3 linked regions of the Caenorhabditis elegans genome follow. The protein of the gene in region 1 interacts with the protein of each later gene in a pairwise test. Each region holds a gene or a part of one and is shown in the gene's direction. Other genes may lie near its edges.

What was found.
Region 2: the proteins of mtx-2 (region 1) and trak-1 interact in a two-hybrid assay, tested with the Caenorhabditis elegans proteins (one large-scale study listed by BioGRID).
Region 3: the proteins of mtx-2 (region 1) and nhr-79 interact in a two-hybrid assay, tested with the Caenorhabditis elegans proteins (one large-scale study listed by BioGRID).

Annotation. Positions count from the first base shown.
Region 1 is NC_003281.10:7,759,158-7,766,897, reverse strand, and holds mtx-2 (Metaxin-2 homolog), read left to right. Parts: upstream 1-3,294; coding exon 3,295-3,394; intron 3,395-3,441; coding exon 3,442-3,561; intron 3,562-3,610; coding exon 3,611-3,780; intron 3,781-4,375; coding exon 4,376-4,528; intron 4,529-4,578; coding exon 4,579-4,818; 3' UTR 4,819-4,921; downstream 4,922-7,740. Other genes in the region: Putative zinc finger protein ZK686.5, read left to right, coding at 1-29, 76-417; Putative ATP-dependent RNA helicase ZK686.2, read left to right, coding at 849-899, 954-1,028, 1,120-1,265, 1,333-1,686, 1,735-2,158, 2,287-2,855, 2,903-3,065; Putative serine protease pcp-1, read right to left, coding at 5,698-6,058, 6,181-6,270, 6,404-6,905, 6,953-7,110, 7,155-7,547, 7,692-7,740. UniProt on the Caenorhabditis elegans protein: Involved in transport of proteins into the mitochondrion.
Region 2 is NC_003279.8:6,118,580-6,126,319, forward strand, and holds the start of trak-1 (HAP1 N-terminal domain-containing protein), read left to right. Parts: upstream 1-4,542; 5' UTR 4,543-4,570; coding exon 4,571-4,666; intron 4,667-4,833; coding exon 4,834-4,907; intron 4,908-5,066; coding exon 5,067-5,192; intron 5,193-5,367; coding exon 5,368-5,427; intron 5,428-5,758; coding exon 5,759-5,978; intron 5,979-6,028; coding exon 6,029-6,200; intron 6,201-6,248; coding exon 6,249-6,427; intron 6,428-6,473; coding exon 6,474-6,644; intron 6,645-6,690; coding exon 6,691-6,811; intron 6,812-6,865; coding exon 6,866-7,014; intron 7,015-7,065; coding exon 7,066-7,140; intron 7,141-7,324; coding exon 7,325-7,465; intron 7,466-7,740.
Region 3 is NC_003283.11:19,208,195-19,215,934, reverse strand, and holds the start of nhr-79 (Nuclear hormone receptor family member nhr-79), read left to right. Parts: upstream 1-4,039; 5' UTR 4,040-4,046; coding exon 4,047-4,121; intron 4,122-4,276; coding exon 4,277-4,367; intron 4,368-4,415; coding exon 4,416-4,481; intron 4,482-5,167; coding exon 5,168-5,278; intron 5,279-5,322; coding exon 5,323-5,532; intron 5,533-6,047; coding exon 6,048-6,193; intron 6,194-6,701; coding exon 6,702-6,833; intron 6,834-7,026; coding exon 7,027-7,091; intron 7,092-7,331; coding exon 7,332-7,460; intron 7,461-7,511; coding exon 7,512-7,627; intron 7,628-7,740. Other genes in the region: srr-2 (Gustatory receptor), read left to right, coding at 457-628, 1,383-1,461, 1,509-1,578, 1,625-1,736, 2,005-2,250. UniProt on the Caenorhabditis elegans protein: Orphan nuclear receptor.

The DNA of each region.
Region 1 (7,740 bases):
GAATTGTTCGAACAAATTGTGGCATTGATGTGAGTGAATTTTGAAATTAAAAAAAAATTAAAAATTGTATTTTAGAACGAGAAGCAGGATCGAGAGAAGGCGATGAAGCGGAAAGTGACAGAAACAATTGTAACAACCTACTGTGAGCTCTGTGAGCAGAATTTCTCGAGTTCTAAAATGTTGCTTCTTCATCGCGGAAAAGTTCACAATACTCCATATATCGAATGCCATCTATGCATGAAGCTCTTCTCTCAAACAATTCAATTTAATCGGCACATGAAAACTCATTACGGACCGAACGCTAAAATTTATGTTCAATGTGAGCTCTGTGATAGACAATTCAAGGACAAGCAATCGTTGAGAACCCACTGGGATGTATCACATGGTTCCGGAGATAACCAAGCAGTATTGGCATGAACTCGTAGATTATTTTTATTTCGTGTAAAATTTTTTGTGACCTATGCAGACTCTAATACGTTTTTTATTCAATAAACTCGAATTATATCTTTAAATTTGTTCTGATATCTGCAGTAGACACAACCCATTGAACAACTGACAGTTAAGTAAACAATACAATGCAAAATTAATTTATTAAAAACAATTGAATTCGATGGAATTTATTATTTGTATAATATATTCGAACGAATGCAATTGAATAAATTAAATTTTTTTTCTAAAAATCGATCGCGAGCAAAAATAGCAACGCTCCGAAATCCCGCAACGCGCGCTGTTTATCGTAAATGCACACCAATTTTTCTCCGCTGTTCTTATTATTATATATTAATTTTTCTCCGCTGTCCTTATTTTTTCAACGCATTTTTTGGTTCATATTTTAATTTCTCCAGATAATGAAAAGAAAAAACCAAAAAGAAGACAGCGACACGGAAAACGATGATGAGGTATTTTCATTTTACAAAAAGTTTACATTTGACTTATTTGTATTAAATATTCAGATTGAGCCAGCAAACGGAGACGGAATTGAACAAGAAATGAATAGAGTAACAAACGGAAATGAGGATGATGAATCAGTGAGTTTTAATCAATTTGTTTTCTTGGCGAAATTGAAAGCGAATTTTATAAAAAATCCTGTTTAATTTTTGACTTTTTGAATTTTTGAAGGTTGGCAATGATGTGGCAGAGCCTATGGAAACAGAAGACGTAGAAGATTCTGGCGAAGTTGAAATTGAAGAAACTGCGCAAAATGGTGAACGAGAAATATTTAAAGTGCTCGGAAAACAAGAAATGAAGAATTTGGAGGCACTAAAGTGAGAATAATTTAATTAAATATTTTGAATAGAATAATTCAATTGTAACTAAATTGATGATTTGCAGAGTAACGAGTTCCTGGGTTCAAAACGCCACTACTTTCTCAGCGACAATCGATTCTTCAACATCACAAAAACTTTCTCAAATTGAGCTTCCTGAGCATCTCACAGTCCCATCTGCAATTTCAACATGGTTTCCAGTTCAGTATGCCGTTCTTCCATCTCTTTTCTTTGAAATCCGATCACCACCACCACTACGTCCACGTGACGTGGCGATCGCAGCTCCAACTGGAAGTGGAAAGACAATTTGCTATGTGCTCCCAGTTCTGGCGGCTGTCGGGAGCAAACCATCCAAAATTCTACAAGCTGTTATTTTAGTACCAGTTCAAACACTTGTTGCACAAATTGTGGACGAGTTCAAGTATGTATTAAGTAACATTAAAATGTATGTTTTAATTCTGATTTTAAGACGATGGAATGACGAAAGTGGTGTTGCAAAAGTAGTATCACTTAGTGGAGCAAACGATTTTGAGAAAGAAGCTCGTCAATTGGCATCAGATCCTCCTAATGTTATCGTGGCAACTCCAGCGAGACTTGTGCAACACCTCACTTCAAAAATTCCACCTCCGATTGACCTTTCAAAATTAAGATTCTTGATTGTGGATGAAGCGGATCGAATGGGAAAGCTTATGAGAGAAGAATGGTTGGATTTAGTAGAATTCTTATGCGGTGGAATGGAACGAGTGGCTTGTTTAAAAGATATTATTAGACAAAGAAGAGCTCCTCAGAAAATTGTTCTGTCTGCAACACTATCGAAAGATGTGGAAGAGCTTCATCTATGGAATTTGTTCAAACCGAGATTATTTTCAGCAACAGCAGTTTCTGTAAAGGATGTGAGTGTTTTTAAAAATTATAAAAAGTACATCAGAATTCATTTTGATATTTTCAACCGAACCAAATTCGTTTTTTTTAAATCGTCATGCAAAATATTTTCGTTTATTTTACTTTTTACAATTTTCAGATCACATCTGGAATCCCTCAAGTTGATCATGTATCTGGTAGACTTGCCCTTCCTTCTTCAATCTCTCATCGCCTCGTTGTAACGGATCCAAAGTTCCATCCGCTAGCAGTTTATCAACAAATCACTAGAAATAAATTCAACAGGACTTTGATCTTCGTCAATGAAGTTTCATCATCAAATCGGCTCGCGCACGTTCTTAAAGAATTGTGCAAGGATCAGTTTGAGGTAGACTATTTCACGGCTCAGTTATTCGGAAAACGACGTTACAAAATGCTCGAAAAATTCAATAAAAATGAAAACCGAGTTCTGATCTGCTCGGACGTGTTGGCAAGAGGAACTGATTTGAACAAGGTTGATTGTGTCATCAACTACAATTTGCCTGCCGATGACAAACTATTCGTGCACAGAGCAGGAAGAACTGGAAGAGCTGGACAAGATGGATATGTGATTAGTGTTGGAGATAAGGAATCAAAGAGACTTTTCGTCAAAATGCTAAAAGTTACAAATTTATGGGGAGATACTGTAGAAGAGCAAATGGAAGAGTACATTTTTGAAAAAGATATGGATAGGTAAAAAATTAAAAATTAAACCTGAAATCATCATCAACATTTTTCAGATACTCAAAAGCTTTGGAAAGTCTCAAAGCAACTGTCTCGTCACAAGCGAAAACCGGAGGAAGCAGACAAATTGCTAAACGATCCGGATTTGAAGCAAAGAGAAAAAGTCGACCAAATGCTCGCGGAGAGAAGCCTTGGCTCAAAAAGAAGACGACCGAGTGATTCTATTTTTGTTGATTTCCTTTTTTTCTTGTTATTTTTATTGTTGAACTCAATTTTTTCATTGTTGGTTTTTTAAAGAATTACAGTTGTTTATTTTCATGAATATTCATTTTTTAAATATAAGTTTTCAATACTTTTTTTTCAATTTTTTACGGAGTGGTCTAGACAACCTTCTTAATACTTTGGAAATTCTAAATAATCAATTATACGCTTTTTTGCTCTTTTTCAGATGAGCAGCTCCGGGGTGATAACCCAATTGGTCACTGATGCCTTGTCGATGAATGCAGCTCAGGATTGGGAAGATGTATCTCTCTTCACACCTTATCTCAGTGAGCAGCCTTGGTGTTTTTTTTGCGAAATTATATAATATTTCCAGATGACCAAGCTCTCATGTACGATTTTGCTGATTGCCTCGCCGTTCAAACATTCCTTCGAATGACTTCATTGCCATTCAATGTTCGTCAACGACCGAATGTAGATTTTATTTCTCCTGATGGTTAGATATTGAAAGTACTGAAATCCTCGAATGCAGATATAATTTTAAGGAGTCGTCCCACTTCTGAAAATCAACAAAACTCTCATCACAGGGTTCAACGCCATTGTCGACTTCGTGCATAAGAAAGGAGTCACTCTTACATCACATCTCAGCGAAACGCAAGTTGCCGACATGAGAGCTAATATTTCGATGATCGAACATCTTCTTACCACTGTCGAGGTAATATTCAATGAAAAATTTATATATTAGACAATTATCGTCAAAATACTAAAAACAAAAAAAAAACCAAATAAGTCCCATCCCTGATTGTGCCACGTGGTTCCATTATTTTTCTAAAAGAATATTACTGTCAAAAAATAGAAAATCTGAAAATATTATTCATTTCGGCTGAAACATTTGAAAATGTTCTCAAAAATTGAATAAAAGTTGACGGACAAAGAAAAAACAATGCTTCAAAATCGGCAATTGACAACTTTCAGGGTATTTCCGAGAACTTTCTCAAATGATTCAGACAAAATTAATGTTAATTTCTATATTTTTATACAAATTTTAATTTAAAAAAATGATAGAAATTTGCCCAAAACAATTGCCGCTCGAAATATATCTTGAAATTTCGATTATTTTTCTTATTTTCAGAATTTTGTTAAATTATTTTATTGTTAAAACTAACGTTGGTAAAAATTTAGAAACTGTTTCCTAATTTTTTTAGGATTTTTTCCGAAACAATCAAACATTTTCGGTTTTTGATTATCTATTAAAAATGAAATAAATTGAAATTAATATAGCTGTTTAACTTTTAATTGAATTTTTTCAGAAGTTTGTACTCTGGAACCACGACGAGACGTACGATAAGGTGACAAAGTTGAGATACGGAAGTGTTTATCACTGGCCACTTTCGTCTGTCTTGCCTTTTGTTAAGCGTCGAAAGATTCTTGAAGAGTTGTCTGATAAGGACTGGGACACCAAGGTATGTAAATAGGTTATTTTTGAATTTCCCTTAAAACTCCTTTCTTTCAGACAATGGACGAAGTCGGTGAACAAGCCGATAAAGTTTTCCGTGCTCTCTCTGCTCAACTGGGAAGTCAAAAATATCTAACTGGAGATCTTCCAACCGAAGCTGATGCTTTACTCTTTGGACATATGTACACATTGATAACTGTCAGATTGCCATTGACAAACATCACAAATATTCTGAAGAAGTACTCCAATTTGATTGAATTCACGAAAAGAATCGAACAACAGTATTTCAAGCAGTAATTTTAGAATTTTTTCGTTTGAGAAGTGTATAGTAGTTCAACTATGATTTTATGGTGTGTTCAGATTGTTCTTAAGAAAAACGAATAAATTTTGATAATATATGTTTAACAACTTTTTAGAGTTACGCGATAATTTTTTTTAACTTGAAACATGAATATTTCAAAGCTTCAATATAAGATCCAATGAAAGAAAACTAGAAAAATAGTTATATTCTGTGGAGCTCGAATTTACGGTTATGATTCTTGTGGTTGCAATGTTTATAGATGTCGTTGTCATCACTTCTGGCTCTTTTTGTACATTTGACAAGCTGGCATAATTGTTCTTTTGACAGTTTCTCTGTATAGCTTCAAGTTATTTATCTTGACTTTTGCCATTGCCGTCTTCTCCTATATGTTCACACTGTAATAGCTAGTGAGTTTTAAGTTGTTAGTGATGTATGAAACCGCGTCATAAGTATACCGAAATCAATCGACAAGTGTGAAAGAAAATGTTGTATTAAGACAACATTTGTATTGATAATCAGCTTAAATATTGTATTAGTGAGGGTGATCTTTTAATTATTTAGTATTTCTTGCATAATAAATAGATTACTAAATCTATTCCTGAAAAATCAAGAAAAATCAAGTTTGAAAAATTTCTCATATTTGAAAAAAACGCAAAAATAATCGAATACAGAATGTATATTGAAAGAAACAACACCCATCGACTTTTTTTTTGCGATTTGTATGTTTTTTTAGAATTTTTTACTATTTTCCTTTAATATTTTCATTAATGCCTAGGTAGAACAAACACCTATAAGCATCGTATTCATCATTTTCAAAGATTCTTTATTTCCATTAGTTTTCATAGAAATGAAATAAATATTGACAGGGACATTGATTAGAACATAGCATACAATGAAGCCAAAATAGCAAGAATAAAAGAGTTTGAGACAGTTGCACCAGTCGTCTGTCCCCATGGATATCCTCCAACAACATCTTTACAATCACCATTTGGAATGGAAATACTTGGAAGTGGACTTATTGTTGGGATTGTGTTGCAATTTGGATCGACCCAGCACTTCAAGATTTGAATGATTTGGAATCTGGCATTGGTAACTGTATTTGGATCACAGGTGTTTGGTTGACGGAGATCGAGATGATGAGCAGATCCAGGAATTTCCAATACATAGATTCCACGAGCAGCATTGTTTTGATCAACTTTGTAGCCACCTCCGGACCATGGATCCAGGTGTCCTTGACTGAAAATTAAAAAAAAAAAACAAACAATTTTAAAAACATGATCTAACAATTTGCAAGAAACAGTATTTTTCTGTTTTCAAAACCATAACTTCAACAAAAGTTTTCGTGAAAAAAACCTTACGTCAAAATCAAGTTACTTGAACCAGAAAGATCATATCCGTAGAGAGTTTTCACTGCGTCGATGTTCCAGTTCTTTGGTGTCCATCCCATGCTGAAATTTATTTGTTTTGATTTTTAAAAGAGTTGAAGAATATGCTGTATGAATGTTTTCAAAGCTTCAATATTATTAAAACCTAGTCGGAAAATGCCTCAAAAAAGAAACCTAGGATCTTTAAATCTGGAACCTTTTAAAAATAGAAACACATCCTTGTTGCAATGTTTGGTAGATATCCTTTCCACATTCATTCCAGAAAACATCATTAGATCCTCCACTAGCACACATTGCCATTATAATCTCTGAACATTCTTGCCATGGCCATCCCAATTCGTCTCCTCCAAGACCACCAGTTCCTTGATCTCCACAAATTGAAAAATCAATACAATATGTGAAATTAGGATCTCTGTTATAGTTGTAATAAATATTAGCAGCATTTGCAACAGCTTTGACTAAATCTTTATCACTGAACGATGTTCCATTAGCATTCATATATCCACATGCAACTGTCACTGGCCATGCTGGAAGAGGTTCTAGGAATCCAGTTGGATATGGATAATCAACCATTGCCATATATTCAATTGCTTCTCTCAAATACGCATTCAAATTCCAACCATCTGTTTGATTCCTAATTTTAGTTCTTGGGTCTAGTTTGAACACGGTGTTGTTGTTGAGCCATTGTCTACCAGCATCTGGAAAATAATTGTACCAGTCAATCGAATTTTTCTCCTTTTTATACCAGTGCTAGAAAGATTAAGGGTAGCATTCCAGGCATTTGCAAGAATAAACCTATTGCATCCATTGTCAATGTAAGTTCTTGAAGTGATATGGTCGAAAGCTCCTGGATCAACACCACCTCCGTTCATGTAAATCAATGGAGCAGATCCTGCCCAAGCTCTGAAAAATTAAAGCAATACCATCAATTGTAGATATCAACTCACCCTTTAACAATATGTGGATACTTCTGTCTAAACCATGCAGACAACATTCCTCCATAAGAACCTCCAAATGAAATAACTTGTGTTGCAGCAGGGAACGTCATCTTGAATTGATTATTGTCTCTTTTCAGTTCAGTCAATAATTCTGCATAATCAGCCAGAGCCTGTTCACTTGTCAGATATCCAACATTTGCAAGTGATGCATATGATTGATTTCCGAATGGTTGAGTCTGTCCATAGAATCGATGTTCCGCAAAAATAATAGATGCATTGAACATTGGAGCCAAATCGAACATCATTCCAGTTGCAGTAACGAATGATTCAAGACCTCCTTCATTTCCAGTATAGAAGAATATTGGACCACCTGGTTTGTAGAATGTGTTGTTCCACATTACTCTGAAATTTACGATTCCGGATGTAACTTTAAAATACTGGCAAAGGTGTGCACATAAATTTATGATAAAGTTTATCAGCTGGAACGACACAATCCAATTAATGCGACAAAAACTAAATTTATAAGATTTAACTGAAATTCCCTACCTCATATCGAAGGTTCTGGTGTCCCCCCATGTGAAGTGGTCTAATTTCA
Region 2 (7,740 bases), on another chromosome or scaffold:
AGAATAGGTGTCTTCCTAACTATGTCTTTATTTTTTGTATTTAGAGTAAGATTTTAAACTTGCTGCAATGCTCGATTCTAAGATTCTAAAAAGTCAACATTGTTTTGGCAGTTTGCCAAAATTCTAACAAACTGAATATTTTATAAAATGTATTCGCTCATTTTGGACTATATTTTAAAGTGTTTTTTATTGGTTTTTTTTCCTGTGTTTAGGTCAAGCAATACCGATCTATCTGAATAACTTGTTGCAAGTATGATTTTTTTTGCTCTACAGTAATCAGGCATCTTCGTTTGAAAATTTAGAAAAACATCCACTATAGTCTATAGACTACAAAGTTCTGCAGATCTATAAAAAACTCACTTCTCTCCACTTTCCATAAAACTTGGACCCTTCCTTGCCGTCGTACTTCCTCTTACATCATGGTCCTTATTTGAAATTGAAGTTTTGGAGCAACTCTTATGAAATATCTCCATGATGTTTTTCTAGGGTTGCTAGGAGTACTTTCACGATAAGAGAGCATGCAAATTCAAAAATGTAGACTTTCTGCCCAAAATAGGTGGTAGGTAGGCAGGCAGAAAATATATGCCTACTCTGTACCAAAATGACATAGAAATAGCAAGAACTCGGCCATCAATTTCATGTTGATTTTTTAGGCGGAAATTTCAGAAACTTAAAAAACGTTATCATATAGGTCAGGACTTTGAAGTTTTCTAGGCCATTCTGCCTGCTAAACCTCAATATTTTCGTTTTGAATCAAGTGACTCCATTAAAAAAGTTTTCCTTCCTCGCCGTGTTCCCACGAATCATGTTTTTTTTTCTCGCGGAATCATTTTTCCACCACTCACTACAAAACTCTCATTCTTACTATTTTGCGCGCTTCATTTTGATAATGCTCAATGTTTTGAAGATCGTACATATTGCAAATGAGCTCTGATTATACGTGTGCCTTTAAACAATTTATTCCGAACTATCCCTTTGATTTGTCCCGTCCAAAACTAATATAAAAATGTTAGTTTTTGTAACTATTTTGTGCTTCTTCCAGAAAAAAAACAACCACTGACTCAACGTGAACATTCAAAAATCCGGTTATCAGTCTTTTCTATTCTGCGTCTCACTTTCTATTCACATTGCCTCCTACCTCATTTCCTCCCTCGCTTCACTGATTACTTGTGATTATCTACGTCAGATTAGAAATGAAGATGCTGAAAACAAAAGTATTGAGAAAATTGATTTAAAAAACAATTTCAAATAAGACAATTATTTTTTCGAAAAAATTCTCGCTGATAATCTGTTCAGCTGTTCATATCAAATTCCTCTTCACATTTGACCTCGGAGCTCCTTTTTGCAGAAAAGATCTCTTTTATAAAAGAGAAAGAAAAAAGCCTGCCAGTTGTCACCCGATGCCTTTTTATCAAACCTTTCCTCTATTTTCCAGAACAAATTGTTTTTTCTGTTTCTCATAACATTGCCTTCAACTAGGAACATTGAATTTTTTAATTTAAAAAAAAATTAAAAATTGGGAAGTTCGGCCACCAATTTTTGTTCGCGACCACGTAGCAAAGTAGCTACATTGATGACCAAAATTTCTAATTTTTCTCCAATTTTTTGTATTTTCGCCGAATACAATGCTCATTCACCAGACAACAACGTGTTTTGTCTGCCTGCCGGTGGGAGGAATGCTTTTCAATTTATTTTTTGTAGTTAATCAAAAAAAAAGAAAAGGCGCAGAAATCGAGAGCAAACAGAAAGAGCTCTCCAACAATATGCTGTGCTCCACGCCTTGTGATTTTTTTTTCCTTTGGACAAGAGAAGCTGAAAAATGTCAAATGGTTGCTTACAATTAGGAGTAATCTAATTTCTAATAACGGATCCTTATCTAACTACAAAATGTTATGCTGACTCAACATTCAACCCGCACAAACCAATTTTTTTTTCGAAATTTTAGTTCAATTCATTGTGAGTAATACTAATAATATTTCTACGTGGTGCTAAGTACTGATTTTCCATGGACGTTTTGGAGCAATTGTGAGTTTCCTTCAAATCGTTTTCTTTATCATCTAGGTCGCCAAATTTTCCAGCTCGACGCGCCTCAAGTGACACCCCCTCTAAATATCATCCAATTTGTTTGTAGTGTTCACCTTATCAGTGTCATAGCCTCTAACGTGTCTCTTCCATCAGAAATTAAGCAATTTATTTGCAATTGCAATGTTTTACTTTCAAAAACAAAAAAGGCTCATAAGCGATCGATACACCCAGAGAAGCTCCTTTGAAGTTGACGTCATTCTTCCCCATTATTGTTTTCTTCTCTCCTCCATCTTCCAAAACTGTTGCTAATTTGACCCATTATTTCTGATTTCCATTCTTCTTCACTGCCACATGATGAGACCAGATTAAAGTGGGCGACTAACTACTAATTTTCGATTTTGTTGCGGAACGTTTTTCTGTCTCTTTTTTTGTTTCTTACCTTTTCTGATGTAAAGCCATGTGACCTTATAACCGCAACAAGTTCAGAAACTAGGGAGTAAATCTAATAATTCTAATAATGAAAATAGTCATTTTACTATCAGACTTTAAAACGAGACATGTCTTATTATACTAGAACTCTTTTTTAGTTTATGTAGGTTATCACAGGAAACTGCGAAACCCAACACCTACCTCCAGAATTTTTAATCTCAAAATTTTTCAGTGAATGTTGTTTTTAGGAGCCAGAAATGTTTTTTATAACACTTTTTGGGAATTGATATTTTCTCGGAAAAAAAATCAGAATTGTTTGGACTGTGTTGTGTGAAAAATGTTCTATCAGTTTTATTCAAAAAAGATTTCAAAAATTTTGCACTTCTCTGAGCAACATTTCAGTTATGAAGAGTCTGCAAAAATCCATTGTCGGGGTAATTCTGTGGTGATTAAAATAAGTAAAGTTCAATTAAAAATTTAAGGGATAGGTATTTTGTCGTTTAAATTTCTCTGATAATCCACTCTAAAAATACGATTCCAAATATGACCATCTTACTTTGAAGTCTTGTGGATAAACCTACATCCATTTGTTGCAAAACCGAAAAACGAAATGTTACGTGTAGTTTTTTGTTAACCTTGAGCATTAGTTTTCACACCCATGTGTTCCGTTTTTCAAAGCCCGCCTTTTTGAAAACCCTAAAATACATAAAAGATACCGCAAATAAGTGACTACCAACAATACATGTTTACCCATACTACCCCCATGTCTTCCAATTTCCTGTCGCTACACATTGTTTAACCATTCGCACGTCTTACCGTTTCATGGTGAGAAGTTGTTGTAGTTTATTACGATTTTGGAGCGTGTCCCATCATGGTTGACTCCCAGGAAGAAGAGTGACGTCACCAGGCGGCCACATCCATCCTTTGACAGAGGGTGAGGCTAGAAGGACAACCTTTAACATTACGATTTTCGCACCTGACCTTCTCATGCTCCTTTTCGCAAGCTGTCATATGGCTTGAGGATTTGTTTAGCTAAACTTGAGCACCTCCCTTCCTCAACCACGACAAACCGACACCTATCCCCCTCTTTTGATTTGAATATAATATATTCGTGTGCGTTTGTTTGTGTGCTTAGGAATATGTATAGGAAAGCCGCTAAATTTCTAAGTTTCGAGCATCAAATCAAAGAATTTATCTGAAACGATAACCAGAAATTCCCGTAGCCCGAACAGAACGTTTCCGCATCATTCACCCACTCCTGCTTCTTAGTCACAATGTCTGTCTCATCTTCCCATTTTCATTCAAAAGCTATTCGGATTTATAAGGATTAGTAAAGAAAGCTATGCTGACGAGGTGTTTTCTTCTTTTTTCATTTTTGTTGTATTTTTTATCGTGAAAATACAAAAATATGAAAAACCCTGAATTTTCGACAAAGTAAGTTGCACCACTTTGGCAGTGAACATGTTTTGTTATATCAAAAAATTTTACCTGAAAATTAGAAAAAAACCGTTGTACCATATATAGGGTTGTAGTTAATTATTTTTGATCTACACAAAATGAGCCAAGATAAATACGGTATTAATTTGAAAATGCAATCTTCTCATTTTATGATAGTGGCAAAGTTCTCTATTTTCTCGGATATTCTCGGTGGGTTGGAAACACTCTGTGCGATATTTGGCATATGTCGAAAATTGCGAAAAGCCGCACAGGCCTGGCTCTGGGAATGAATAGAATTAAACGCATGAAAGTCTTCTTTATATACCGTTGTTTTTCTTCCAAACGACTATTAAAATTATAATCAAACACATGTTCGTTTCCTCTCTCTTTTCCTCGATACCTTTTCACTTAACGGTACTAAAAGTACAAACATACATTCTTTCTCTCACAGTCAAACAGTTTGAAAAAGAAACAATGAGTATACCTTTCCTTTCCTCCCATTTTTTCTCTAATTCTCTTTCACTAGTGCCGCCCGTCCGCTTTTATCGTTTTTTCTTGAGGTTCTCCCCCTTGATTTTTCGTTTTCCATAGATCAAATTTGATAACCATTTTATCTTGAATCCTTTCAGTCTAATAGTTTTTATTTTCCAGATTTTCGAATGTTTGGGCTGTCAGCCGAATGAGCCCAACTCCAACTCGAAACTCCTCTCCACTTGATCCGTCGTGTGCTCTCAACGAGCTCGACTGCAATGGTCTCATGGTTATTTTAGAAAAGGTATGCCTTAACTTGTTCTTATTTCAAACTTATTTTAGTAATCGAAAAAATCGAATGGTAAAAATTGTAGAGTAAACATTGTGAAACAAAGAAATATAAAATGTTTTCGATTTTATTTTTTAGTATTGAATTCATGATCTTCAACTATTAAAACATGTTTTTTTCAGAAAAATCACGATCTTGAGCTTGCGGCTAAGATTGGCCAATCGTTGTTGGAGCAGAACAAAGATCTTCAGACAAAGTGAGTGTTTTCTAATTAAGCCCACCGAGTTCAAGTATCAATTACACTTGTTTTAATGACGAGTGGAGGGAAGATAGGATTAGTATGCGAATAAAAGTTCTAGAAAATAGGGACTATTTCCTTGTTCTAAAAATAAGCTCTAAAAATCAATGTTTTCAGAAATGAGTTCCTCGAGGAGAGTGTCAACAAGAACCTGGACACAATTGTTCAACTGAAACATGAGCTTAATCAACGAATTGAGCTACTCAGGGTCTACTCACATTTAGATGATGATGGTTTACCAAGGTAAGATTTTTGTTTAAAACTTTTCGACAAGAAAGAGCCGAATCACAGTTGGTCATTGTGTTAATATTCGTTGTGGAATAAACAACTTACTAAATTTATATCAAGCGTGGCGTGGAGATCAAAATCTTGTTCTCTTGCTTCTTCGTTTTTCAAAGTTAAAAAAACTCAATTGCAGGTCAAACAGCGACGAGGCACTCCGAGAACGGCTTAAATCCACAAAATCGGAAAACGAGAGGTTTGTCAAATAATCAAATAAGCCAGCGTAATTGATAGTGGGTGGGCGATCGAGTTCAAAATTGTGCAGTTTTTGGATAAGGGGAACGATTGATAGTCTAAAAAACAAAGATCCTGATAATGCCATCATTATTGCTCTCAGAGCCTCTCAAGCTCCGTTGCCACGAATAACTTTGGGTTTTTGGTGATTGCTCAACTGAAAATCCTATGTTCTTTTTTTTTTCACACTCTCACTTCACGCTCTTGCCGCTTGCAGGCTCACTTATGTTCTGAAGCACATCCATATGCTAGGAACGTGCTCTGACCAAAATTTCACATATTCACAATTTAAGACTTCGCCAAGAATGTGATCTTCTCCGGCAAGAATCCGCTATAGTCACTGCTCAGAAGAATAGTTCATACCTGCTAGAAAAACAGTTGGATTACACAAATGACAAAGTGATCAGCTTGCAAAAGTTGATTGAACAAAAAACAACAGAACTCAATCAACAATATGAGAACACTGGAAAGCTGATGAATGAACTGGCGGATAAGGATAAGAAAGAAAGAATGGTAGGTTCTTAGATGCTTTGCGAGCTGCAAGAAACGATTTTTTATTGCAGATCTCAATGGAAAAAGAAGAAATGGGTGCGATACTCATTGAGATGATCCAAAGACATGACACAATGCAAGCTGAGCACAAAGAGATGCAGGATCAATACGCGGAGCTCATGGCTAATTTTGCGGAAACTGAATCCGAGTTGAATAAGCTCAGAAGTACCGGGAACTTAAGAAGTAAGATTTATACAACATCAACTTGACTGAATTCTTCAAATTTTTCAGTGTCTTATGACTCTCTCTATGACTCCCTTGCGTCTGAAATGGAAAACTCCGAGTTTTCACCAGCGGGTCGCACAACACAATTGACAGTTCTTACGGGGAGAGATAGCTATGCAAATGATAGTGGAATTGATGCAGGTGGTCCAATGAGCTTGGCAGCTGAGATTGAACACTCAGAAAAGGTACAATTTCGACTTACACAACTCGAATAATAATATATTCTTCCAGTATCAAATTCCCTCGATCGCAGAGCCTATCTTTGCTACCTCATCAAAACTGGCGGCTCTCTGTGATGCGAGCACTTCATGCACAGATATCTATCGTGATTCTACTCCAACGATACAGGACGACGATGTCACAACTCCTTCGGTCTCTGGCATTAACGCACATTATGCTGAGGTAAAACTTATTAGGCAAAAAAAATTTTCAAAAAATTTTTTTTTAGACCAACCAACTTAGCTTCCCCAGCGAAGAAGCCGTGTCCACACCGATTGTGGCACGAAAGTATATCCCGTGTAGCAGCCCGAGTAAGAGCAATTTGAGCAAGTTACAACGGTTGCATATAGGTGAGTAAATTTTCTTATTTTGCGTCGATTGACATTAGTCATGTCTATTTTCAGGTAATCGTCCACATGCTCAAAGTTTCGATGTTCCATCTACAACTATTTATGACGCATCGTCTTACGCAGAGTCAAAACTAGGACAACCGGGAATGCCTGGAACTCGTGATCTGGATATCTCCTTGAAAGTAATCAAGGCTAGGGAAGAGGTGATTTGCACTTTAACCGAGCTTTATACTAACTCTAATCGGATATGTTAGTTTCAGGTGCAAAAAGAGTTTGCGGCGTTTTGTCAGCGGAAAGGTATCGATCAGCAACAGTTTTTCGGTTCTCAGGTAGTCTACTTCTTTCCTTTTCTATCAATTATCAAATGAGGGAGGTTTGAAACAAAGTTTTGATTATTGGAAGTCCAAACCTCCCCTCAAGTACATTAACTTTTCGGTAGCTGCCCTGTCATGTTAACAGTTTTTATTAAAATATTGATTGAAGTGCTTATCTAACCAAACTCTCTCATTACAGGACCGTCGTCAATCAAATGAAACATCATGGATGGATTTCAGTGCTGCATACGGAGTCAGAATGATTCAGAGTCTGAAACCAAGACATGCCGAACAGTCATTAGCATTGGGTCTCAGACAAGGAGTGTTGACGAGAGCAGAGGTAAGATATGAATTAAGTTTAAAAATTTGGCATTTATTACTTACAATTAGTAAAGAAAACTTTTGATTAATTCATGCATAAAAAGGAATACTATAGACAAACCAAAGGAACGGAATCACTAGTTTAATTGACAGTTAGAAATTAACTAACACTGACATTTTGCCAATTGTTTGGCACTTGGTATTAGTCGAATTTTCCAAAAGCCGCACATCTCTATTACAGACATTCATTTAAAATTGGAAATATTTCTTTACTAGGTTTATTTTGGACTATAT
Region 3 (7,740 bases), on another chromosome or scaffold:
GAACCAAGTTATGATGGTTTAAAGTTTTAGGACTGACCGCGACGCGACCGCAACGCATCTCCTAAACATAGAAGCACTGTAACTTTGCTCAAACTTGCACTACAGTCTTGAAAATTCACCTGTAAACTTTGGATGTCATTGGCAATTATTTCTTGATTGCACCAATATTGCGTCAATGCACGAGAAATGCGCCAAGGCACCAGATATGCGCCAAGGCATCAGACTCACGACAATAATACCTTCGGACTTTCTATGTGCATTGTAAAAAGTTTCAGAGCTCTATGGCATTTGTGAGCAAAATTATTGTTGTTTGAAAATTTACCCGTGCGTCGCGGCTGCGTCGCGGTCGGAGTCAAAACTTTAAATATGCGTAACTTGGTTCATAGCTATCGTAGAGCTCTGAAATTTTTTGCACGTATTGAACTTAGCTTCTCCTATAATAAAATGAATTTCCAGCACAACTCACAACAACTGGTACTACTTTTTCGACGCAGGAGTCATGGCTCTTTGTGCATACGTGAACTTTCTTTTCCTGCCAATTCATGCATTAATACAAAATGCAATTGCTAGAGAATTCCATGTTTTCAATGAGGAATTGGAAGGTGCATCGAAGAATAAGGAATTGTTGGTAAGTGAAATTGCACCAGAAATGCGCCAAGGCACGAGAAATGCGCCAGTAGTCAAAAGGCTTGAAAAATTTGAAAATTTGACAAAAAATACTAAAATATCATGATGTGAAAATTTCAAGTCGTTAGAGTCATCTTGAGCAAAGTTATGTCTGTTTGAAGTTTCAAGAGGGGCCGCGACGCGACCGCAACGCACGTTGAAAATTTTAAGGGATCGTAACTTGGCTCAAAATTATTTTTGAGGCCTGAATTTTTATTTGACAGCTTAATGCTACATGATGATTATTTTAACACGGAAAAATGTGGATTTAGTATTTGCACCGAAAATGCGCCAAGGCACGAGAAATGCGCCAGCAATTTAATTTTGTGAGATTTACTAAATAGTGCAATGCATGGAAAATTGTGAAAGTTTCAAAGCTTCACGATCATTTTAAGCCAAGTTGTGGCCGTTTGAAGTTTCTGGTCTGACCGCGACGCGACCGCGTCGCATGGCCCAAACTTTGAATAGTTGTAACTTTGTTAAAAATGCTCCTAGGGCTCTGAAATTTTTTGTGTGAAGTATTTCATTTATTCTCAATCAGGTGATTTATTTTGGAAAGGAGCTTAAGAGTTCAAACGCGACGCGACCGTGTTGCACTCTGTAAACTTTAAACTGTTATAACTTTGCTCAAAATTGTCGTGGAGTCTCGAATTTTTTTACCCTATTCACAAAATTTTCTATTCACAAAATTTTCTGCAGTAAACTCTTGTTTCCAGAACCCTGCAATTTTCCAAACATTTGCCGACCGTCAGATCAAAATGTTCGAATACACAAATGCACTAACCACCCGGCTTAGTAAGTTGGAATTTTCCAGAAAAATCAATAATTCATTGAAATTTCAGTGCCTTTCATGAGTTCTGCTCCGTTTTTAATATTGACTGCTCTGGCTAATGTAACTTTTATTTTCACAAAGTGAGTTTTAAAGGCGAAATTATCTGAAAATCTAGTTTTTTTTCAGTTTGGGCTCCTTAATAGACACATACTACTACATTTGTATGATTGGATTAATGATTTGTTGCATTATAATTTCTTCTAATTTGATGTATCCACCAGCTTTGGTTCAAGAAGCGGTAAGTGTTCACTAACAAAACTTCCGTAACTCAGTTTATATGGCTCTGGGAGCTATGATATGCATTTTTTTGGAATCTGCGTAAAATTTTAAATTTGATGAACTAAAAGGTGTGAACTTTTAGAAAAAAAAATTTTTTTAAGATTTTGAAAATTTTCGAAAATATTTTTTTTGAACAATTTTTTTTGGAATTTTTTTTCAAAATTAGTAAATATTTTGATTTCTAAAACCAAAACTAGTAGAATTTTTTGAAATAAATCAATTTCCAGATGCTCCACACCTCCACAGTCCTTATGGACGACCAGTATGTCCATCATTCCAAAGATCCACAAATCTACACTACCTACCGCAGTATGGTGGATCGATCAATCAATAATCGCACAGTCAACCTAGTTGTCCAAATTTTCAGTGTGAATCGGAAAAATATTGAGAGAGCTTATTTTGTTATAACTAATATTGTGTTGCTTATGACCGTGTTTTATAATATTTTGGATAGACTTCCAGTTGTGAATTAATAAAAAGTTGATGTAAAAATTGCTTAAATATGTTTTAAAAAGTATCTACAGTTGTATTAAAAGATTTGAAAATTTTCGAAAAAAAAATTTAAAAAAAAATTTTTTTTTTTGAAAACTCGAATTTTTGGAAATTGTCTTTCTAAAATTTTGATTTTTAAAATTTTATCGATGTAAATTTTCATCCAGATTTCAAAAAATTGCGTTTCGTAGTTTTTGGAGCAATATGAACAAAGTTAGGGTAGTTTTGGTACCTGAAAATACTCTACATATCTAACCACTCCCGTTATCAAAGTGCATATTTCCGCCAATATCAAAGAACTTTTTCATCAACTATCAATGAGAATGTGGGAGGTTTATGGCTTCTTTGATGTATAATCTGATCAAAAACTTCTTCAAACACACATTTTTTCTACATTTTACCCATTATAAATAATTGCACGAGAATTGCGCCAACGCACGGAAAACGCGCAAAGACACGAGAAATGCGCCAACTATAACTATTTTATTGAATTTCGAATAAATAGTCGTCATAAAAAATTTCAAAACTCTAAGACAATTTTGAACATAGTTATGACCATTTTAAGTTTTATAGTGCGTTGCGGTCGCGTCGCGGCTGCTCTCAAATTCAAAGTGGCATAACTCACCTTAAAACGGTCCTAGAGAGTTGAAGTTTGAACAGTGGCCTTTTGGTCAAAATATTTATCTATATATTTGAAATTTTTGGTTTTGGACCTTGGCGCATTTCTCGTGCGTTGGCGCATTTCTCGTGAGTTGGCGCTCTTTCAGTGCGTTAGTGCAAATTGTTAAATGCGTTGTACTAAATGTTATTTCATAAAAACTTTAGAGTTCTAAGACAACTTTAAACAAAGTTACGGCCATTTGAAATTTTAAGGTTGCGTTGCGGTCGCGTCGCGGTTGCTCCCGAAAATTTAAAACGTCATAACTTTGCTCAAAATTATCCTAGAAATCAGAAATTTTAACTGTAAGATAAAACCAATAGTTTCTACCTTTGACAAGAGTTTGGCGCCCTGGCGCACTTCTCGTGCCTTGACGCTTTTTCCGTGCAGCCGCTCAATTTGTACTTTTTGTAGTTTCTGTTGTCTTCACAGGGCGACCCGATCAAAATAGAATACATTGATACGGTGATGGCCATCACGTTGTTCTTCTTTCTCCTTATCTGTAGTCTATTGATCAATAGCTTGGGGAGCGTGTGTTAGTGGCGGTGGTGGTGTGTTTATTATATATGTACTTTTAAAGAAGGTGATGCAAATTTGTGAAAAAATTTTAGTGTGAATTAATATTATTATGACTTTAAATTTTTTAGAAAACTTTGAAACCAAAAAAATTTTTTTTGAAAATTTTTTTTTGAAAAATTCCTAATCTCAAATTAACTTTTTCTAACATAATTTTACACAATTTGCTCACATTTCCAGCCTTTAGAGCACATAAAAACAGCACCTGCATGTGCGCTTTTATCCCCTTTTTCTCTAAATCTCCTCTATTCTGTTTTTTCTGTTTTTTTTCTGCTGTTATCCATTGATTTTTGATCAATTATGGGGGTTTTGAGTTTTTTTTTTGAAATAAAAATAGGTTTTTATTATTATTCTTCAATAAAAAATTTATTTAAAAAAATAATTTTTCAAAAAAAAATTTAATTTTTCTCTGAAAAATTTCAAAATTTCAAAAAAAATTTTTTTGCAAATTGATTTTTTTTTATGATTCTAGTATTATTTTCCTATTATTTTCATCATTTTTCCCCCGCAATTTTCCTTGATTTATCGATTTTTAGCATAAAAATGGTGCGTGGGAAGTGTATGGTGTGTGACTCCCCGAATGCTACAAACTACCATTTTGGAGCACAATCCTGCAAGGTAAGTGCTCAAAATGTTGGGAAATTAGGTTAATATATTTAAAATACACATTTAAAAATTTTCAACAAAAAAAAAAAAAAAATTTTCCAAATTTTCAAAAAAAATATTGAAAAATTATTGAAATATTTTCACCTTTCGAGACCCAATATTTCCAGGCTTGTGCTGCGTTTTTCCGTAGAAGTATTGCCATGGATCAGTGCTACGAGTGTCTCGGAGATGGGGTACATTCCTGCAAAATTGACCACAGTGAGCCAAATTTCTCCCCCCAAAAAAATTAAAACCTGAAAATTTAAGCTCTCCGCCTCAATTGCAGGCATTGTCGACTTAAAAAATGCCAAAAAGCAGGAATGATGAGGGATTGTGAGTTGATTTGTCGATGCACCATGATTGCGCCAGTGCACTAGAATTGCGTCAAGGCACTAGAATTGCGTCAAGACCTTGAAAATTGAATAAAGAAGCTACAGCTCAAATTTCAAGTCTCTAGCATCATTTTTAACAAAGTTACAACGTTTTGAAGTTTGTTAAGCGACCGCGATGCGACCGCAACGCCCTGTCCAAACTTCACTACTTTGTAACTTTGCTCAAAATTGTCCGTTAGGCTTGAAAATTTATTTGTGGACGTTGGAGAACATTTGCATTATGATTTTTAAATGCACCAAAAATGCGTCAACTCACGAAAAATGCGCCAAGACACGAAAAATGCGCCGACCCCCGAAGTCTTTGCGAATTGGACATTGGCCAATTTTACATAGAATATAAAAAATTTCAGAGCCTTAGCATCATTTTGAGCTTAGTTATGACGACTTGAAATTCTCCTCCCATCCGCGACGCGACCGCGACGCACCACCTAATTTTCAAACCTCCATAACTTTGTTCAAAATGATCGTCCAGGCCTGAAATTCAAACTCTAGTTTTGCAATGCAATGCTTCACATATTAAAGTTAATATAAATAGCCCGACCGCGACGCGACCGCAACGCACTGCCCTAATTTCAAACTTCTATAACTTTCCTCAAAATGCTCCTAGAGCTCTGATTTTTTTTTCAGTGGTTCAAGCAAAACGAGAAATCAAATCTGATAAAGGAAAAAACTCGAGAAATTCTTCACAATCCGAAGATTTTTTCTCTCCGCCACCTGAACAGCCAGGACCTTCAAATTGTAAGTTTCGAGAGTTTTCCACCAATTCAGAGCTAAATTTCCAGATTTCGATCAATTCCCATGGCAAGCATCGGAAAACGAAATGGATCCGTACCCATCGTCACCAAAAATACGGAAAATGAGTGAAAATCTGATGGGAATCGATGAGCTCCAGCAATTTATTCAAATTCCCGCCGGTGTCGACGATTTTCCGGATATTTTTACGGATTCTGATGAGATTCGATCGAGAATGACGTCGATATCAGAAGCTTCTGGTGAATTTTAAATTTGTTAGAAAGAAGATTTTGAAAAAATAAAAAATAATTTTTTTTCAGTTTTGGACAAATTTTTTTTTTTCAAAAAATGAATTTTTCAAGAAAAATTTTTTAATTAGACTTATCTAAACTCAAATTTTATCCTGAGCTTAAAAATGTGCATATTTAAATTTTTCCTACACAACTAACAAAGTTACGGTAGGTTTTGTATCTGGGAAGAATTTCGAAGTTATCGGAAATATGTCATGATTATACTTAAATTAACCGGAATTTAGTGCTGAATTTGAGGAATATTAGATTCAGACAACCTATAAACTAGTTTTCAGGAAATTTATAATTTTTGAAACTTTCGAAAAACATTTTTTTTTGAAATTTTGGAAAAAAAATTGTTTTCGAAAAAATTTTTTAATAAGAAATATTCCAAAAATATACTCAAATTATCCGGAAAATCATGAAAAATTCAAAATTTTATGTTTCGAAGCATTTCCAGCACTAAAACCCTTCGAAATTTTCAGCCTACGTCACTGGAATGGAGGAAGAAGAGAGGTTATTCGGATTGGCCGGTCTTTACACGGAGCAAGTGATTAATTTGAATATGCGTAGGCGGATAACATATACCGACAGGCTTTTAGGATCAGTTTTCGATGCTCCGTGTGTTTGTGTGAGTTTTTGAGTATTTTTTAAGGAATTTGTTTTTTTCAAAATTTCAAAAAAAAAATTTTTTTTTTCGAACATTTTAAAAATTGCAAATTTTCCGAAAACTAGTTTTTTAGGCTGTATGAACTCATATTTTTTGAATTCAGCACATAATCCCAGTCATTTTTCGTATAATCATGACATATTTCTGATAAACTTGAAATTTCGGATCACTGTGTTAGTCCAGCTGCAAAAAAAACTACAGTAACCCTGTCAGGTTTCTGTTGGCACTTTTCATATGCTGGTTTTCAAATTTGGAATAAAATTTGGGTTCGAATAAGTGTAATTTTGTAGTGTTTCAGAACAATTTTTTTTTTGAAAAATTCAAAAAAAAATTTTTTTTTTTTGAAAAATTGAGATTTTAGTAAATAAATTTTTTAATTAAAAATTGTTGATGTTTCTGTTTGAAAATCTCTCAAAATACGAGCTTCAGAAGCTTAATCTGAAAGTTTTCCAATTTTTCGTTTTTTCAGCCGTACGACAAAGCTGATCTGAAACTATTCGACCATCGGACCTATCGGCAGAAGAATCGGAATGATTATACAATGATTTTAGATTATATCAATCGATTTCCAGAATTCGAGAGTTTGTCCAAGTCGGAGAAGGTGGGAACTTTTTTTTTTGGAAAAAAATTTCAAAAAAAAATTTTTTTTCGTCCAATTTCTAATTTTCACCAAAGTGCTATACCCCGATAAACCGATTCAAAATTAGAAAAAAAAAACATTTTCTACTGTATTTTTAAGTCCTTAACCCGTTTTTCTTAGCTAAAACTGTCCAAAACTTCAAATTTCCTTCCAGACCGTCCTATTTCGAACCGCCGCCGCAGTCGACGTGCTTTTGGACCAATCCTATTATAGTCAAGTGTATGTGTAAAAATGGAATCCGGGCAGGACTAATGGCCAAAAAAACTACTCTTAGGATACTAAACTGACCAATGAAACTTTTCAAAAAATAATGAAACTTTTCAAAAAATTTGGATTTTTTTAAATTTCGAATTTTTTTTTTCCAAAAAAAATTTAACTTGTATCTGATGTTTAATCTAGTTTAGCATTGGAATGACCGTAGTTCAAATTTAATACTTAAAAAAACCCTACTACTTCCAGAATCTTCCCGACAGAAGATGTGCTAGTCACCGCAAATGGCGAGTACCTTCCAATGAATCCAATGCCGAAGGTCGAAAATCAAAGGGACAGCGGGAATTTCCATTCGGATGAGGATTACGATAGGTTCAAGTCGGTGAAAAACCCCGTCAAGCTCTGCATATCAAGCTCCATTTTTTGCAGAATGCTCACTTCGATGAAGGTCCGGCAGTGGCTTCATGTTTGTGAACCGATGAAAAAACTGGACATGTCGCTGGCCGAGTTTTCATTGTTCAAAGCTCTGACTATCTGGCACTATAGTGAGTTCAAGCCTAAGCCTAGGCCTAAGCTAAAGTCTAAGCCTAAGCCTAAGCTTGAATCTACTCCCAATTATAAGCTTTAGCCTTCGCTTAAACCTAAGCCTAAGCGTAAG